2 linked regions of the Drosophila melanogaster genome follow. The protein of the gene in region 1 interacts with the protein of each later gene in a biochemical or structural test. Each region holds a gene or a part of one and is shown in the gene's direction. Other genes may lie near its edges.

Region 1 (3,758 bases):
TGAAAATCTGAGAATCTTATCAAGAACCGGTCGAGGCTTGTTTGTTAAAGGTGCACTGCAAAAAAGTACACACCGTAAAGTGCTATCGCAGATTCTAAAGTCTAAAGCCTATGTTGAAGCAAGTATGTGCCATCGTAGCTAAAAATAACAATGGGCGATTTAATCAAGAAAATAAAAAGTAAAATACAATAATTTTGGTGTTTTTATATATAAATATCTTTAATGGTAGTATTTTCTAAGTGTAATATTTATTTGAGATTTTTTTGCCAATGTTTAGAGAAGAGCGACAACACTCCCACAAGAAGAATTTGGGATTTACCCAATCACAGCCATTGAGAGTAAGCTTTTAGAAGTATGAGTAAGAATAAAGAAGAACATACGGACAAAATGTACAACCTTCTATTAAAGATGATTTTAGAGATTTTAAAAAGCCCGCTTAATAAACAGCGAAGTTGCCCAACTCTAACGTGTCAGCTGTTTGTGGTATTGTGGTATATCGATAACTTTGCTTGCGGTATATCGCTGTAGTAATAAGGGCATAAGGGCATATCAGTGAAAGATTAAATTTTTTTGTTAATAGTTTCCATTGTTGCCATTAGGTAAATATTTAAACAATACTTCTATTCTGAAATAATAAGCTTCGCCGTGTAGCAGGCGACGAATTTCGATGAAATTCTGAGTCTCGTCCGTTTCCTTGTCTTATTAGCTTTCGTTCTCTCGATAGAAAAATTTGTAGAAAATATCACACACGGGAAAAAACAAAAACATGAACATATTTTTGTAAAATATTTAATTAGCGAGAAGGACACAGCGTACACGTATATTTTGTGGTTTCGCATGTTGTTCGTCAGTGTTTTTGTGCAATTATTTGAAAGATTTGGCCAAACGCGAAACGCAACAGAAAGAGGAGAACACAATAAGACAATAACAAATTCGCAGCGCGTGTGTCGTTGAATGTGCGTGGTTGTGTGCGTTTGTGCTGCTGCCAAAAGAACGCGGATATAAACAAATATCCATTTGGATCGTTGGAGCTGTTTTGTTATTGTAAGTAATGCAGATTTATGTAATTCACTTGTGTGTGTGCTCTTTTTGACCAGTCTTTGTTGTTGTTTCTGCGCTATGAAAACAGCTGTGGCGTTGCCAGACAACATAGCGCTTTATATAATTTTCTATAGGGCTGAATTACACATAATTGCTGTGCTTAGCTTAATTATTACAACATTGGGGCCATTATTTATTTTCCTTGCTAATTACGAGTGACATGTAAAGTTATCGATAAATCGATTGGCTCGTTGGATGGTTTGTTATGGCAGAAGGGGTTCCAAACAACGCACTATAGGCTGAATGGTACCTTTTTGTGGCCAAAACTCCATTCTGTAATTGAGTGTTGTAAATAGCGCTTTTAGGTATATTAGCTGAAACAAAAACTTATGTTTAACTTGAGATTTAAACTGAAAATAGAGAAATCTCAATAAAAAAACGAGTTAATTTAATATAAGGGGCGGTGCCACGACCAGAATTTTTGGTACTATAAAAGATATGGGCTAGTGTCACCCAATGCAAATAACATAAACAAAATATCTCTCCGATTTAAAGTTATTAATTTTGGCCACAAAAAGGTACCATTAAGCCTACAGTGCATCGCACGAAAGCAAAACAAGCGAGAATGATTGATTTTTCGTCGTGCGTCTTCGGGCGAGTGGCAGCTTCGTGGAAAAGCGGGCAGCAGTGAAAACTTTTGGCATCACAGTCGTTGCTGACGAGCGGAAGGGACCGCAGCTCGGGAAAATCAGGAAAGAAAACAACGCGTCAGGGCGCTCTTCTTAAATTTGAAAATTAAATGCAACTAAATAGCGTAAATTAGTCAAAAGTGTAAATAGTTAAAATCGTTTTATAACCAAAAATTACCAGTGTAAATCGCTTATTAGTGCTGTGTTAAAAATAGTTACCGTTGTACGGAAAGAGAGAATCGAGTGCAAAGGAATTTTCCTACGTCACAGGCTGTGCGTTTGTGTGAGTGTGCACCCCCGGAAATGTAACACGCACACTGGCGCAGGAAAAACTTGCACCTGAAAGTTTTCGTCGTGTTTTCCATCTTCGTGCGCTCTCGGCATTCGACATAACACAAAAAAAAATAAATTGAATAACGCAGCAAAAGGTTAGTTATCCGCTATTCAGTGCACCTGTCAAAAATCCTATTTAAAATTCGGACTTATTTGCCCCAGTTTTTATCCAGGGCTGGCATTATCTACCGTCAGCGCGTGTGTATATTAAGTGAGTGTGCGTGCGAGTGTGTGTGTGTGAGAGAGTGTGTACGTAACCAATTGGAACTGGGGCAACTGGCAAATACGGCAACGAATCGGTGGAGCAAAGCAAACGCCGCAATAAACCCCTAAAAAATCTCCAACCCCGTGAAGCAAGCACGAGAAAAGCTGGCTGAAAGCTGCAACTTGGCCCAGTTACTTTGGCTCTAATTGCAGACGTGATAATAGAAGTGCACACAAAGCATAATATTTCCAGAGGGGTGGGTGTGGGACCAAAACCAAAAAGGGGAGAATAAAAAACAGCAGCAGCAGCATGACAAACAAAAACAAACTTCATTTGCCAAGAGCCTTTCAACCAAATTTGTTTGCACACTCATAGCTACAGATAGAGATACAAAGATACAATTGCATTTCAGTTGAAGATGAGCGGCTCTTCCACTTTTCTCGGTTTCTGAGCTCTCGAGTTGGTAAACAAAATTTCGAATTTTTTGGGGTGGCAGGTAGAATAACTGGTTTTATAAATTAACACTTGGCCACATTCAGGGGTAGTTTTTTAATGGGTTTCTTCGTATCACTTTAAAGCATTATCAACAAATACGAGTTAAGATTTACTATTCGCTGCTGCACACCCTAAATGGAAAAACTAAATAAATTTTGAAAACGATACAATAAAGAAATGTTAAATTCAATACCAACTAAAAAATACAGAAAACCAAAGATGTAAAAAAAAAGAAAAACTGATCTAGAAAATAACTCCTTAACTACTGCCAAGTATATTTTGTAGAAGAAGCTGTGAAACTTGGGAAAGTACCCCTAAAATAATGCCCCAATCCTAAGCCGCCGCTCTTTTTGAAGCTGAGCCAAGCAGTCTGTGCTTTTGGCGGCACATTACACTTGTTTACTTTTGAAGTGTGCGTGTGATACGCCTGTGTGTATGTGAGTGCTTCGTGGTGTGTGTGTGTGTGTGCGCTCCATGGGGGCGTTACTGTCTTTGTTGTTGTTATTGCTGTACGTCGTCGTCGTTCCTTCTTCGGCTATTTTTTGGGGGTCGCTCTCGTCTCGTTTGTAGGGCAAAATTGTGTATTGATTATGCCAGTTTTATTTTCCTTTTGTCTACATCCCCAGCCCAGTTTCAAAAACTGGAAAAGTGTGGGGCACCTGCGGTCTGTTTTTCATGCCCGACTGAGCCATTTCATTGGCACAGCGATTTCGTTGTCTCTCCGCATTTAACTAATTAAGAGCCTCTGTCTGCCCATCTCCCCCCTTTTTCAGAACAATAGACGTTTTCCGGTCGCTCAGCCCAAAATGAAGTGCGTGTCCAGGGACAGACGAAAAGCTTTAGAAATTGGATAGTTTAGTGCACTCAACGAAATTTTCAGATACTTTGCATATCTTATTTTTGGACTTAAAATGTAAGAAGCTTAAGAAGAAAACAATACATATCATATGTAAATGCTCCTTTAAGTAGGCAATATTTTGTTCAAAAACAGTTTT
Region 2 (3,758 bases), on another chromosome or scaffold:
TCGAGTCTTCGAGTTCCTATCGCTGCAGCCACAGGTGGAATTGCTGCGCGGCTACATCATCCCGCAGGAGCGGCTGCACGGCGAGATTCGATTCGAGAACGTCTCATTCGCATATCCCATGCAACCCGATCATGTGAGTTGTATTAAAGTATATCTTCATTTCATTCTCGAGACAATGATGGCATATTTACATTAATCGATGCTCTGTAATTTGTAAACTCGCCACTTTTTTATATAATATTGAATAACTTCTTATCGCTTCCGCAAGTAGATAACCATTTTATAATACCCACAAACATTTATGGCCAATATTTACGGCTAAGTGATAAAAAGATTAGAGTCTAGGCAATGCAAACAGTAATGAACTTCCTATGTCAATTTTTGCTTCATTCACAGCTGGTGCTCAAGGACTTTAGCCTGACGCTCCGCCCGGGCCAGACGGTGGCCCTGGTGGGAGCCAGTGGATCGGGCAAGTCGACGATAGCGTCGCTGGTGGAACGCTTCTACGAACCATCGGCGGGCAATATCAAACTGGACGGCTACAAGCTGTCGGACATATCGCCCTATTGGCTGCGGTCCAATGTCCTCGGTTTCATCGAACAGCAGCCGGTGCTGTTTGGCACATCGATATTGGAGAACATCCGATATGGTAAACCAGATGCGGGCGAGGAGGATGTGTATGCGGCAGCGCGTCTATCACAATCGCACGACTTTGTGACCGCCCTGCCCGATGGATATGCGACGCATGTGGGCGAACGGGGCACCCAGTTGAGCGGCGGTCAGCGGCAACGCATCGCCATTGCACGGGCGCTGCTCAAGAATCCGCGCATCCTCATCCTCGACGAGGCGACGAGTGCCTTGGACGCCACCAGCGAGGCGGAAGTGCAGAAGGCACTCGATACAGTGGTCCAGAATCGCACCACTCTGGTGATTGCCCATCGCTTGTCCACGATACGAAACGCTGACCTCATTGTCGTCCTTGATCAGGGACGCGTCGTGGAGGTGAGTTGTCCTAGACCATTGGTATCTTCAGAAATATTTATATTTTCCCTTGTTTTAGACCGGCAAACATGACGAACTGATGGGCAAGCGGGGCCTGTACTTTGAGCTGGTGCGTCAGCAGGAACGACGGGACATCCAGGAGCAAGTCCAGGCGGTGGAGGACGTTGTGGCCGTCAAGGAGCAGCAGGCAACTGCAACAGAAACTTCAACAGCCGCAACAATTGCAACTGCCGCAGAAACTTCCGCAGCAACAGTGACAGTGGGGAGCAGCAGCTTCGGTGGCAGGGCAAACGCAGCGCAAGGATAGTGACGATGTTAGGCAAATTGAATGATTCCCTATACACTTAATTTAATATTCTTATAATGTTTTCACTTTTTTTTTTGTTTTCAACTGACCAAAAACAAAAATGGTGAGAGACGCTAACAATAAGTATACAATAAAATAAACGCTGAAGACAGTATTGTTTTTGTTATAAACAGAAAGTATTTCATTGTCATTATCGCTAAATTCACCGGGTTCATTAAAAATAGATGGGATGCGTGAACTTAAATTAAAGTTTGAAAAACTGAATATAAAACACTTGAAATCCCAATTTCCGTTAAATAATATATTCAATGGGACCGCATTATTTCTACAACCATACTCATATACGGTCACTCGAAGATTAAAGAAAAACTATTTCAATATTCAATTCTGTTCAATATTTCTTGTTAGTGACAAGCAGCGTGTTTATAATAAAAAATTTGTTCATTAAAGAGTTTATATATTTTTTAAGTTGATTGGCAGCTAGACGATAGTTTTGAGATTCTTTAATGACAGTCCTACGGTCACACTGGCTGAATTGTATTTTATTTTGTGTAGTTTTGTTGTTGTTTTGTTTATTATGCATTTCTTTTTTATTGTTTGAGTTAGCGAGCTGTGCGTCGCGTCGGCATTTAAACAAAATCCGCGGCATTTCGGTAGTTGCGATTAATAATTGCTTGGCGGGAATTACAGTCGAATAAGAAATTGGCGAGGAAAAACCAACAAATGTGCAATGTGCGTCAAGTCAATAGCAATACAAACGAACAATTATGTAAGTGTGTGTGTGTGTTTGGTTTAGTTTAGTGTACAAGTCCAGCAAAAAACAATAAAATCTAAGTAAAAAACCAGTTGTTGTTGCTATTGGCTTTGCTAATGTCGTGTTGTTCCCGTTCCCCCACACACATTTTCTAACAGCGCGTGCATGTGTGTGTGTGTGTGTGTGTGTGCAGCACCTGTACGCGTGTGTGTGTGTGCTTCTGCCTCCGCACAGTGGACACATTCCTGAATTTTGGAGTCCAAAAATATGCAAATTGCCTGAGTGAATTAATTGACTTAATTAACAAAAATTGGACCGCAAGTTATGATAACCATAGTTGATTAAACGGAATTAGTTTCTAGCGGGACTAGTGCGACAAATACTCAAACTTACTTGATTTTTTACCATTCGTTCCATTCGTAAACCTAGCTTGTCTTGGCTATTTTATAGACTTCAGTCAGGGTGGCACACCCACTCATTTCCAATCTCTTCAAAGCAAAATCACAGCACTGTGATATGGTTGGTTAAAGTAAAAGTTCAATGGGTTAAGCAGGTGATTAAAGGCACATTAACCCCTAATGGAGCTTGGACTGCACTTAACGCACGGCTCACATGTGACCACTGTGCGCGCGTGCAAGTGTGTGCGTGTGCATTCGTCATTCATTGGTCATGTTTATGCGGTCGGAAGAGGGACGTGCACAACAACTACAGTTAGCTCAGCTGAAGTGCAATTGCGATTGCAGTTGATCCAAAGAGTCGCGTTTGTTGTTGCATCAACCGGAGTTTTCACGGTCAATGTTGAGCTATATCCATAAATACACAAACATTCATGTGTATTTGCATATACATATGTATGTCCATATGCATATATCCATGGATTATGCATGCAAATCGATGATGGAAATCAGGCGGTATAGCGAATTCCGATGGGGGGCAGCTGACTCAGGATCGAAGTCTTTATCACTGAACCCTAAACTAATGACTACCGGACTCAATTATTTTGTTTTGTTCGGTCATTTTGTTTAGTACGCAAAAATATTTACATGGCTATCGCTTTAGCAATAAAGTTCGAATTGCTGTCCCAGTATATCATAAAAAATCACGGAGAGTTTTGAATGCAATTGGTTTTGAAAAATGCCAAACCTTCCTATCATTAACACTTAAATCAGTTAGAAAAACTAATATAATACTATATTAGTTGATAATAAATGCATTTCATGTATGATATCATTGTAGATATCTTTTTTCTCAACGTTAATGATAATGGGTAAAGATAGCTTATTTATAGACCTACATTGCCTATATGATATTTGCTTAGTTTCCACTGGTTCATATCGACCTGTTGACGATAATTGGCCAAGTTCCGTGACTGCTGGTCTATATTTACTATATTTAATACCTATTCCGTCATCGACTAATACCTTTTTTTTAACCTCCCGCCCCCCTGCTCTTTACCCACAGTGCTAACGTGATCGGGCCAAGGCACAAAAACATTCCATGCATCATCAGCAGCGCCTGCGGGCAAATGGCGGACGAGGAGGCACTGGATTGGGCGCAGGATCAGGACCTGTGTCCGGAGGACACTCACCATTGTGCGCCCATTGTCGGGGTCAACTACTGCCACATCCAGAGGAGCCAATCGTGATGGCTCTCGGCCAGCAATGGCACTGCGATTGCTTTCGCTGCTCCGTTTGC

The links. Proteins that work in one complex are often made in the same cells at the same time.
Region 2: of the proteins of orb2 (region 1) and LIMK1, one has a biochemical effect on the other in vitro, tested with the Drosophila melanogaster proteins (one study listed by BioGRID).

Annotation. Positions count from the first base shown.
Region 1 is NT_037436.4:8,951,219-8,954,976, reverse strand, and holds the start of orb2 (orb2), read left to right. Parts: upstream 1-1,742; 5' UTR 1,743-2,158; intron 2,159-3,758. UniProt on the Drosophila melanogaster protein: RNA-binding protein involved in translational regulation and required for long-term memory. Required in mushroom body gamma neurons for long-term memory in male courtship. Binds to mRNA 3'-UTRs.
Region 2 is NC_004354.4:12,590,251-12,594,008, reverse strand, and holds the start of LIMK1 (LIM domain kinase 1), read left to right. Parts: upstream 1-1,815; 5' UTR 1,816-2,078; intron 2,079-3,524; 5' UTR 3,525-3,560; coding exon 3,561-3,758. Other genes in the region: CG1824 (uncharacterized protein), read left to right, coding at 1-133, 397-1,002, 1,061-1,309. UniProt on the Drosophila melanogaster protein: Protein kinase which regulates actin filament dynamics. Phosphorylates and inactivates the actin binding/depolymerizing factor tsr/cofilin, thereby stabilizing the actin cytoskeleton.